Oryctolagus cuniculus: one gene and its partners. The protein of the gene in region 2 interacts with the protein of the main gene of each other region in a pairwise test. Links are inferred from orthologs where the notes say so. Each region holds a gene or a part of one and is shown on either strand. Other genes may lie near its edges.

The links.
Region 1: the proteins of NCOA6 (region 2) and ESR2 interact in a two-hybrid assay, tested with the Homo sapiens proteins (3 studies listed by BioGRID). The link is inferred for Oryctolagus cuniculus from reciprocal best matches to the Homo sapiens genes NCOA6 and ESR2.
Region 3: the proteins of NCOA6 (region 2) and NR1H2 interact in a two-hybrid assay, tested with the Homo sapiens proteins (2 studies listed by BioGRID). The link is inferred for Oryctolagus cuniculus from reciprocal best matches to the Homo sapiens genes NCOA6 and NR1H2.

What each region holds. Positions count from the first base shown.
Region 1 is NC_091451.1:6,217,585-6,221,226, reverse strand, and holds part of ESR2 (estrogen receptor beta), read right to left. Parts: intron 2,435-3,642; coding exon 2,254-2,434; intron 99-2,253; coding exon 1-98.
Region 2 is NC_091442.1:23,361,760-23,365,401, reverse strand, and holds part of NCOA6 (nuclear receptor coactivator 6), read right to left. Parts: coding exon 2,240-3,642; intron 1-2,239. UniProt on the Homo sapiens protein: Nuclear receptor coactivator that directly binds nuclear receptors and stimulates the transcriptional activities in a hormone-dependent fashion. Coactivates expression in an agonist- and AF2-dependent manner.
Region 3 is NC_091449.1:7,476,773-7,480,963, reverse strand, and holds the start of NR1H2 (oxysterols receptor LXR-beta), read left to right. Parts: upstream 1-1,261; 5' UTR 1,262-1,416; intron 1,417-1,519; 5' UTR 1,520-1,654; intron 1,655-2,045; 5' UTR 2,046-2,064; coding exon 2,065-2,107; intron 2,108-2,194; coding exon 2,195-2,326; intron 2,327-2,454; coding exon 2,455-2,745; intron 2,746-3,227; coding exon 3,228-3,490; intron 3,491-3,596; coding exon 3,597-3,776; intron 3,777-4,191. UniProt on the Homo sapiens protein: Nuclear receptor that exhibits a ligand-dependent transcriptional activation activity. Binds preferentially to double-stranded oligonucleotide direct repeats having the consensus half-site sequence 5'-AGGTCA-3' and 4-nt spacing (DR-4).

The DNA of each region.
Region 1 (3,642 bases), on a different chromosome or scaffold from region 2:
CACGCAGCGTGTGGGCGTTCAGCATCTCCAGCAGCAGGTCGTACACCGGGACCACGTTTCTGCACTTCATGCTGAGCAGGTGTTCCATGCCCTTGTCACTGCGGGGACACAAGGGCACTGAGCGTCAGCCCCCAGCAACAGCCGTGGGAGGGCCGACGTCCCCAGCTCTGCAGCGCAGGGCCAGGCCACCCCAGCCCGACCCCTCCCGCTTCCCCAGCCCACTGTTCCAGGCTCCGGTGTCCACCACTCGAGGGCGAGGACAACGCCCTGTCCACCTCTGTGTCCCACCGCCCACCCACCGTGGCCGGATACGGCTCCTGGAACACAGGATGACGGCGTCTCATTACTGAACACTGATTAGTGAGCACTGAACCCCTGCTCCTACGGGGTTTCTAGTCACATCTTCCTCAGCCAGTCGACACGTAACCTTCTGTTACGTGCGTTCCTGTTTAAAGACACCTTGCGTGGCATGTAATGTGGATAAAGTAACAGTGAACGCACGGCTAACGGCACCGTCACTCAAATCTGAACAAAGCTTCTCTACGGTGTGTTTCTCCGGGAGGCACATCACAGCCTCCATGCACCAGGAAACGGACGGTACTTCAGCATGGGGCTGGGGCACCATTTTAGACAACAAAAGCCATCCACAAAAATAGGAAAACACAGCACGAAACAGATCGTGTAGAGGACATTTCACGGCGTGAGTGCCCAAACAAAAGGGCAGAGGCCCTGCCCACGCGGCCTCTGCTGGGGATCTGTGTGTCAGCCTGCTCAGGACTGCTGCACGAGTGCGTTGTAGCAAGCAGGTGAACGCGCAAACGCGAGGGTAGGTCAAAGAGTCCATGGAAAAATGGAATAAAAAGTAAGTTAACTTTGGTTTGAAGAGGTTTGAGGGGCCAGCGCTGTGGCACAGTGGATTAAAGTCCCGGCCTGAAGTGCCGGTATCCTGTATGGGTGCCAGTTTGAGTCCCGGCTGCTCCACTTCCGATCCAGCTCTCTGCTGTGGCCTGGGAAAGCAGGCCCACATGGGAGACCCGGAAGAAGCTCCTGGCTTCAGACTGGCGCAGCTCCGGCCATTGCAGCCATCTGGGGAGTGAACCAGCAGAGGAAGACTTCTCTCTATCTCTCTGTCTCTACCTCTCCCTGTAACTCTGTCTTTCAAATAACTAAAATAAATATTTTTAAAATAAGTTTGAGGCTGGCGCCGCGGCTCACTAGGCTAATCCTCCGCCTTGCGGCGCCAGCACACCGGGTTCTAGTCCCGGTCGGGGCGCCGGATTCTGTCCCGGTTGCCCCTCTTCCAGGCCAGCTCTCTGCTGTGGCCAGGGAGTGCAGTGGAGGATGGCCCAAGTCCTTGGGCCCTGCACCCCATGGGAGACCAGGATAAGTACCTGGTTCCTGCCATCAGATCAGCGCAGTGTGCCGGCGGCAGCGCGCCAGCCGCGGCGGCCATTGGAGGGTGAACCAACGGCAAAGGAAGACCTTTCTCTCTGTCTCTCTCTCTCACTGTCCACTCTGCCTGTCAAAAAAATAAATAAATAAATAAATAAAATTTTTTTAAAAAAATAAGTTTGAAATGCAGGCTTTTTTCATAATTCACATTTCCTCCCTACACTGCGACGCACCCTCCCACGGGAGCTGCAAACACTAACAGTCGGCCAGCTCTGTGCTGCAAACGGTTGCAGGGGAGAGGCCTCCACACTTCCTCCCTCCGTGAGAATCCCTGAGGTGACCCTCCTCCCCACAAGGGCACCGAGCACCAGTGTCCCTGCTGCGTCCACGTTCACGTTTCCCGCCCTGGGATGTGCCAGTTCTCTCTTCTGCTCAGCCTTAAAGTCCCGATGCCACAGGAAGAAAGGAGGAACCCGGGGCAGGCCCGAGGCACCATGGGAAAACCAGACTTAGCCACTTTGTGGAAACGACCTCAGTGTCAGCCGTGGCTGGTGTGGGCAGGCCACGGGGCTGTGGCTCATTTTAGGGAAAGAACTACTCACCACAAGACTCCAGACAAGCTCTGAGCCCCAGCACCTAAACACACATGAGCCTGCAAGGCTGCATGGGACACGGATCCAACACCCACTCTGTGCTGCTCCCTGGTGACAGGCATGTGAATTGATGACCCACCCCTACCCCTTTTAAGGGTTTCACTGTCCTGAAAAGGTGACAACTCTACCTGACCCACCCCCCCAAACCTGCGCCCCTCCTCCAAGCAGGCCCCACCCCTCGTCCCCGGGGATGGCCCTGGGCCCGTACCTGGCATGCCTGACGTGGGAGAGGAGCATCAGGAGGTTGGCCAGGCGGACCGACTGCTGCTGGGCCGAGATGCCGCTCTTGGCGATCACCCAGACCAAAGCGTCGGTCACGGCGTTCAGCAGGTGAGTCAGCTTCCGGCTGCTCTCAGCCTCCTGGGCGGCCGCAGCCAGAGGGCACATACCTGGACAAAGAGTCACAGCCCCCAAGTCACCGCTGAGCAAAGCGAGTCCTGGGCTCGGCCGCTAAGCCACCTACGTTCTCCAGGAGGCCGTGCTGACGGGCACTGCTCTGCCAGCCACACGGGCACGCCCTCCGGAGCATAGCTTCCCTCTCCCGGGGGCTCCTCCCGAGCCAGCGCCAGCAGAAGGGAAGCCTGGCTGCACACACAGCCGACTAAATGACCTCCCAGAGTGCCCACCCGGCCCAACGGTGCCCTCGGCACAGCAGTGAATGTATCCAGGCACCTCCAATCAGCACGTGGGGTTTCTCGGCTGCAGCACATGCACGCACAGGGACCATCAGGACGGGAGGCTCCTCAGCTCGGGGGAGTTTAACACATGTAAGCTCAGGCCGCTGCTGCAAAGCCCCGCTGCCCAGCCCTCACGTGCCCCACATGCCCCACGCAGCCGCGCCGCCTCTGCCTGGGTCCTCGGCACGGTGCTGGGGCAGGGAGACCCCGGGGTTGGGGTCAGGCTCTGCACCCCTCTCCAGCCCTGTGAAGGGACCCGGCTCCTCGTAGAGCAAAGCTTACAGGTCCACCGCTGCTTGGGCACCGTAAGCAGCCGATCCTGCCAGCCCCGGCTCCAGGATCTGATCCTGTCGTCTTGCAGCCGACGCGACCTGATGCTGAATTCCTCTTTGAGCTTCCTGGACGGGGCGCTGCTGCGGAGGCTCAACTTCCTGCTCGGGACGCGGTCCTGGCTCCGCACTCCCTTCCCGTCTCGTGTACTGATACACATTCCTCCCTTCGATCCCAGCCTCACCATGAACTTCCTTCTAGAAGCTTCCCGACCTCCCTACCACCACAGCGTAAGGAGGGCTTGAGTGCTCCCCACATCGGCAGCAGCGCAGAGGCGCCACACTGCCCCACAGCCCTCAGCCACCACCCAGCCGCCTCTCACTGGCAGCAGCGCTGGACAGAAAGTGCTCTGAGGACACAGGCTCTGCCTGTTTGTCATTTCATTCCCATCAGCAACCACGACGCCCAGGGTGCAGCAAGTCCTTACCTACTGGAGGGAGCAGCCTGAATCTGCACGCATTCAAGTCTGTTCTCAGGTGATCATAACTCAAAGGGTGAATGTGATGTTAATGTGCACGTCAGCACTCTGCACACAGGGAGTCACGAATGGAAAATGCAGGGAAATTACCTGAAGCTTTCTCTAAATCCGA
Region 2 (3,642 bases):
GAGGGATAAGTTCCCTGAAAGGAAGTAGAAATGGAAACACTTAGTAGCAGCAAACATATTTAACTCATACCAAATTTCTTTTTAACTCTTAAGATTCACTTGCATCAACAGAACTAGGAGCAGAAACACAGAGCCCCTAGCTCTGTAAGGTCTCTACCTCCTAGAAAGATATTGAATGCCCTCAAGGCCTCTATCCCTCCTGTACCTCTAACAGCAAGGTAAAGAGGCAGAGAGAAAGGGAAATGACCTTTCTGGAGCTCTGTATGGGCAGGGTGCTGGCCACTTGATGTTAAGTCCTCTCATTGAATCTGCATACAAATTATGAGATGTAACAATGATAATCTCCACTTAACTGACATGTTAAGTACATGGCTTCAGACAGGTTAAGAAACTTAAGCAACTTCAATTGGTAACCAGCAGGGCTAAAACTTGAACTCTGATCATATTCTGAAGATTGTTCTTCCTGTCTCCTCCTGGGTACGTAAACTCACCAGTGGGCACTCAAAGCATACTGGATACATAAATAAGACAGCCTTACTAGCTGGCCTAGCGTATCACAAAGATCCTTCCCATCTCTGGTGTATGGCTGAGTCACCTCTGGGGAGGAAGAGCTTCTGCAGCACGTAAGCCTCAACAAAGGACAAACGTGTGGGGAGGGGAAGCAAGAAAAGGAAGGAGGGGCGATGCAAGGAGCCCCATCCTGTCATCAGCAGCCCACCTGAACAGCATATAGGAAATAATCCCAACTGGGTATCTATGAAAGGAATGGACCGATTTACAGACAGTGCATCAAAAAGGAACTGGTATTAATTTTAACCACTTATCAAACAGTTACTATGTTCTAGGCTCCACTCTAAGCAAGTTACATGCATTCCTTCATTCAATTCTATTGTCCCCACATAACAAAGGAGAAAACTGGAATTTGGGAGTAGTCCAGCAACATACTCAAGCCTACACATCCAGTAAGTGCTGGCACTGTGACACCAGCTGTACCTATCCTGTTAACTACTTTGTTCCTCATAGGTCTGTTATGAAACTTGAATGTCTAGAACACTCTCCTTTGGGGTAGCCCAGAAAGGGAATGGTCTTGGAGTATAAGAATAGGGGGCAGTATTGTGGCATAGTGGGTTAAGCCGCTGCCTGCAGTGTTGGCATCCATATTGGTGCTGGTTCACATCCTGGCTGCTCCACTTTTTTTTTTTTTTTAAAGATTTATTTTATTTATTTGAAAGGTAGAGTTACAGACAATGAGAGGGAAAGACAGAGAGAAAGGTCTTCCCTCCGTTGGTTCACTCCCCAGATGGCCTCAACGGCTAGAGCTGCACCAGTCTGAAGCCAGGAGCCAGGAGCTTCTTCCTGGTCTCCTATGTGGGTGCAGCGGCCCAAGCATTTGGGCTATCTTCTATTGCTTTCCCAGGCCATAGCAGAGAGCTGGATTGGAAGAGGGGCAGCCAGTACTAGAACCAGTGCTTGTATGCAGGTGGAGGATTAACCCACTGCGCCATATACTGTGCCATGAAGCTGGCCCCAGCTGCTCCACTTCTGATCCAGCTCCCTGCTACTGTGCTTGGGCCCCTGAGCCCACATGGGAGACCCAGAAGCAGCTCCTGGTTCCCGGCTTTGGCCTGGTTCAGCCCTGGCCATTGCATCCGTTTGGGGGATGAACCAGCAGATGGAAGATCTCTGTCTCACTTTCTCTCTGTATAACTCTGCCTTTCAAATAAATAAATCTTTTTTTTTTTTTAAAGGTATGAGGATGGGGTTTCAAAAATCCTGCTCTGAAACAGTCATGAGCAAGCCTTCATTATGGTCGGGGAACCTGCAGAAGCAGCTTTTCATACTTAGGGGACATTGGAGGGTCCACAGCAGAGACTTCGAACAAATACTGAACTTCAATCTGAGCTCCAGTCCTCTCACCCACAGGATGACTTCAAGATTACTTGCTATGGTTGGCATGCTGATGTGATAATGCACATAGAGACGCTTCCTTGTAAACTCAGAAACTTTCACATAAGTGAAAGGAGCAGAGACAGAATCATGTTAATGAAGCTAAACTTACCATGGGATTTGAAAGCATATTTCCCAATGTACTTCCAATAAATAGAACTAATACTATATCTATTTAAGTCCATTCTTCCACCAAGTAGAAAAGGAGTAATGCTTTTGTGGGATAGGTTAAAAAAAAAAAACAAACCCTTCTGGCGTGAGATGACGTCCCGTCCACGTCCTGAGTACATACCTATGCTGGGCAGGAGTTCTGGATGGGGTCCCACCTTCTCCTCCACTAGGCCACCTGCAAGTGGCTCAGATGCTATGCCACCATGATTGCTTTTTGTGGTTGGTGCCGCAGAGATGAGCTCAGAGGGTACTAGAGTGGTTACTATCGAGCGTACGCTGGTAGGGAGAGCACCGCCAGGTAAGCTGGGTCCTGCTGAGGCAGAGCCTGGGCCCACAGGGCTGGAGGTCATTTTTAGCAGAGTGGGTGCTGGAGGCGTTGGGGTTTTACTGTCCAGCTCTGTAGATAACTGCTCTGTTCCCACGAGCCCCAGAGCTGGGGTCTCTAGCCCTTGGCCTTCAGTCTCTCCATCTGCAGCATATTGCTCTTCTCCTTTCTCGAGAGAGCCTGTAACTTTCTTACATGCCTTGGTCAGCAAAATCTGGCCAATTTTGTCCACTTTTCCTTTTCCCTTACTGGAGGAGACTGGGCTTCGCCGGTTGACAGAGGAGCCTGGGCTGTTGGTCAAAAGGGGAGAAACCATTGTGGTTGACTGTGAAGAGGACAGAGTGCTCTGATCTGCTGAGGTGCTCACCTGAGGACTGGCCTCGTCTGAATTCAATTCTTTCACTTGCTGGACAGGGGGATGAGGAGGGACAACTGGAGAAGATGTACAAGGGGGAGAAGGAAGCTGAACAGGAGTGGCTCGTGAGTTAAGGACCAGTGGTCGTCCTGTCTGTACATTTGGAGCAGGACTACTAGAGGGGGCATTAGGCGGTATAGGAGCAGAAGAAAACTTTATGTTCTGAGGTATGTGTAAAGGACCAACGACTGCAACGGAGGGAGGCATCAGACCAGAGTTGGTGGTCAGAGGGGCTGCAGGAATTGTGCTTGGCTGTGATCCTTTCATAACCTGAATTATTGAGGATGAATTGATAAAGACAGGTGTAATGAACTGAGGCCGGGCATTAGACTGAGCAGCTGACTGTCCCTCAGAAACCATAACCTTGCTACCCACATTGGGCATCGTGACGACCGTTGACATCAGAGCAGACTGCAAGTGAGTTGGCAGAGCTGCTGATGTGTTAGCTGAAGTTGTGATGGGATTGGAAGTGACAAACACAGTTATTTGATTTGGGGGCAAAGGAGCAGAAATGGAGGAAGAGCTGACAGGTCTTGACATTACTGGAGGGAGGCTTGGTGCAACATTAGAACTGACCTCACTCAATTCTGGATGCACAAGGGCTGAACACGGCTCATTGTTGTGAGGTAAGTTTAGGGAACTAGAGGGTTCTTTAGAAGATGACGGATCCTGTAGTGTGGGAACAACAGATGCTTTTTTGAGGTCCTCACCAGAAACTACTGGAGGTGTTACTTCCATATCTGTAAGCCCAGGGGGTTTAATGGTCACGTTAGGAGCTCCAGAG
Region 3 (4,191 bases), on a different chromosome or scaffold from region 2:
CGGGTCCTCAGCACCTGGGAGAGCACCTGCCACACAGCAGACCCTCGCCAATGTCGGCTCGGAGCCTCCTTCGGCACAGCCTGCCCTGGGCAGGATCGACGACCCTCCCCGCCGCCCCCCACCCCGACTCGCTCGGGCCCAGGTCGCGTCGCCCCGCGCCCCGCACCCAGGGGTCATTTCTCGGAGGCCTTGTCTGCAAAACCGCAGGCGGCCGCACGGTGGCGGTGTGCACCCGCGTTCCCGCCACGGGTCCCGCCATGCCGGGCGCCGAGGCCGCGGGCAGCTCCCCGACCGGTGCCGCGGGAGAACAAGGGCTGGCTCCCCGCCTGCCCCTGCCCGCGCTCGCCGAGACAAGGCCTCCGGCACACGGCGGATTGGGACCAGATTGAGGCTCCACACACAGCCTCCTACAAGCCCCTGGTACTTTTGCTCCCTTTCCATTGGCTGGACCCCGTCACGTGACCAGCAGGCCGCGTGGGCCGCTGGGGAATGTAGTTCGGCTGTGTGTCGGGCCTCGTGTGTGAACCTCGGTCAGCGTCCATCGCGCGTGGCCCACGAGGCCTGCTGCGAGGTCCGATGGCAGAGCCGGCGCGGCCCGAAGGCTCAGGGATGCCGGGCAGCATCTCCCCGAGCCGCCACGCCCCGGCTGAGGAGCCACGGCCCCCCAGCCCCAGGCTTTCGGAAACGCCTGGTTCGCCCGCACAGCCCGGGCAGAGGAGACGCAGGGGCTCCCCTGCGAGCCGGCCTGGCTCAGGGCAGAGCACCGAGCTCGTCCGCAGCCGGAATCCGGGCGCCGAGCGCCCAGCCCGCCCCGTCCACGCGCCCCGCGGGGAACGTGCCACAGCCAACACTTTACTTTGACCCTTGTGGTCTGGAGAGCCTGGACTTTTACAAACGCTTCCAGCAGCAAAGTTAGGGTTTGCCGCATACGTTTTCCCGGCCCAAGTTCGTATTTCAGCTCATTGAAAACCCCGAAGCTGCCAGCCCACAAACTCCGCAAACGTGCACTGCGTGTTTTCACCAGTCACGGGGAGGGACGCTGCCGCTGCTGGGGGTGTCTGCGGACCCGGCTCTCCGGCCGCAGGACCAAGGATGGGCGCGATAGGCCAACCGCGCGGTCCGGGGCCGGCCACGCCACGCCGGACCGCGGTCCCCCACAACTCCCCGGAACTCTTCTTCCGCACCCCCCAGCGGAGCCACACGGCGGCGCACACTTCCGGCGAGCGCACCACTTCCGTGCGGGGCGGCCGACTCGGCCGGCCCCCAGCGGACCGGAAGTCCGTCACCCTTCGCGCCCCACCCCTTCCGGAAGTGACGCATGGCGGGGTTGCCGGAAGAAGTGGCGAAGTTACTTTTGAGGGGACTCTGGTGGCGGCGGCGTGTCAGGGGCTACGGCCCCGGAGGAAGAGGAGCCGAGTAAGGGGGCGGAGACAGGAGCACTGGGAGTGGGGAGACGCAGGAGGAGCCCCCAGCAGCTCCGACGAACCCCCTTCTCTCTTCCCTCCGCTCCCCTCCGTAGCTTGCGCATCCCCCGGCTGTTTCCAGGGCAACGGGAGGAGACCCCCCCACGCGAGAGGCCGCCCACAAGTCCCCGCGCGCAGCCATGAGCCCCGCCCCCCACTGGTGCTCGGAGAGGGGCGGGACCTGGAGCGAGGTGATGGGGCGGGGCTTGCGGGAGGGGCGGGGGCGGGGCTAGGTGTTGTGGTGGGCGGGGCCTGAGAAAAATCAGAATGAGAGACGGAGTTGGGTTGGGGGGAGGTGTGCTAAGAGCAGGTGGGCTGTGACTGACGGGCAGAGTGAGCCCCAAGGAGAATGGACAGTGATGGGCGAGCAGGTGGGTGGGGCCTGGGGCGGGGCCTGTAAAGGGGGCGGGACTTAAGGCCACACTGCAAGTTGGAGCATGGGTGGGAAGCGTCTGGCGGCCGGCTGGGGCTGGGGTCCCTGTGCAGTAGTCGGAGCCTGGGGGAGCTGGAATAAAGGGGCCCCCTCATCAGAACCCGCAGCTGGCCTGACCCAGTCCTGCGTTGCCCCCCTGTGTTGTGCAGGCTGCTCCGTGACCCCACCATGTCCTCCCCCACCACGACCTCCTTGGACACTGCCCCGCCTGGTGAGTGGCCCTGTGCCTCGCCCAGCCCCGGTCGGAGCAGCCGCACGGCCGGAGGAGCTCACCGCGCCGCGTCTCCCCGTCCCCCAGGAGATGGCCCCGCGCAGCCCGGCACCTCCTCCCCCTCGCCCGCCGTGAAGGAAGAGGGTCCCGAGCCCTGGCCCGAGGCCGCGGACCCTGCTGTGCCAGGCAGCGATGAGGCCGGCTCAGCCTGCGTCGTGGGTGAGACGGGGCCCGGGACGGCTGTGGGCAGCAGGGCAGAGGGAGGCCCTGCCTCGCTTCTTTGGGGCGCACGCGCCGCCCGCTCCTTGCGGCCCCTCACCGCCTTGTCCGCCCGCCCGCCCGCCCAGTCGCCGTGGAGCCGGAGGAGGAGCCGGAGCGCAAGCGGAAGAAGGGCCCGGCGCCGAAGATGCTGGGCCACGAGCTGTGCCGCGTGTGCGGGGACAAGGCCTCGGGCTTCCACTACAACGTGCTCAGCTGCGAGGGCTGCAAGGGCTTCTTCCGGCGCAGCGTGGTCCACGGCGGCGCCGGCCGCTACGCCTGCCGCGGCGGCGGCGCCTGCCAGATGGACGCCTTCATGCGGCGCAAGTGCCAGCTGTGCCGGCTGCGCAAATGCAAGGAGGCCGGGATGCGGGAGCAGTGTGAGTGCGGGTGGGGAGGGTCGGCCAAGCCCCGCCCCGCCCCGCCCACGCCCCCTCGGTCACGCCCCTGCCCCGTCCACATCCCCCGGCCTTCGCTAGTGCGAGGCACCGGGATGCGGGAGCAGTGTGCAGGGTGGGGAGGGCTCGGCCCGACCAGGCCAAGGCCTGGCCACCTCCCCAGACCGGCCACACCCCAACCGCCCTGGCCACGCCCCGATCCCCGGTCGGCCCCGGCCCTCTCATGCCCTGTCCCCGCCTCCGACAGGCCACGCCCCGCTGGCCACGCCCCCAACCCTTGCAAATTCAAGGAGGCCAGGATGCTGGAGTAGTGTGGGGGCGGGGCGCTACCCCATCCCCAACTGTGCCGGCCTTGGCCTTACCCCGAACCTGGCCACACCCCGACCCGCCCAGCCGGTCATCCCCGCCCGGCCACGCCCCCGCCCGGCCACGCCCCCGCCGGCTGAGCGCTGGCTCCGTTCCAGGCGTCCTCTCTGAGGAGCAGATCCGGAAGAAGAAGATTCGGAGGCAGCAGCAGCAGCAGCCGGTGCCTGGGGAGCCGGGGGGCAGCAGCGGCTCGGCCGGCGCGCCGGGGGCGTCCCCCGGGGGTGCGGAAGCCAGCGGCCAGGGCTGCGGCGAAGGCGAGGGCGTCCAGCTCACAGCGGCCCAGGAGCTGATGATCCAGCAGTTGGTGGCCGCCCAGCTGCAGTGCAACAAGCGCTCCTTCTCTGACCAGCCCAAAGTCACGGTACTGCCCGCCCAGCCTCGGGCGGCCGGGCCGGGAGGCGGAGGCCGCGGGCTTGGCCTCGGGGTCAGCGCCGGGGTCCTGGCGTGACCGGTCTCCCGTGTCGCAGCCCTGGCCCCTGGGCGCGGACCCCCAGTCCCGCGACGCCCGGCAGCAGCGCTTCGCCCACTTCACGGAGCTGGCCATCATCTCGGTGCAGGAGATCGTGGACTTCGCCAAGCAGGTGCCCGGCTTCCTGCAGCTGGGCCGCGAGGACCAGATCGCGCTCCTGAAGGCGTCCACCATCGAGGTAACAGCCAGTGCCAGGCCCGAGCCCCGGGCAGCGCCGCACAGGGGCCGGGAGTCCGGGGCAGCACCCGCACAGGGCCCGGGAGCCCGGGGCAGCGCCCGCGCAGGGCCCGGGAGCCCGGGGCAGCACCCGCAGAGGGGCCGGGAGCCCGGGGCAGCACCCGCAGAGGGGCTGGGAGTCCGGGACAGCACCCGCACAGGGCCCGGGAGCCCGGGGCAGCGCCGCACAGGAGCCGGGAGTCCAGGGCAGCACCCGCACAGGGGCTGGGAGTCCAGGGTAGCACCCACACAGGGACCGGGAGCCCTGGGGCTGCGCCCGCACAGGAGCCGGGAGTCCAGGGCAGCACCCGCACAGGGGCTGGGAGTCCAGGGTAGCACCCACACAGGGACCGGGAGCCCTGGGGCTGCGCCCGCAC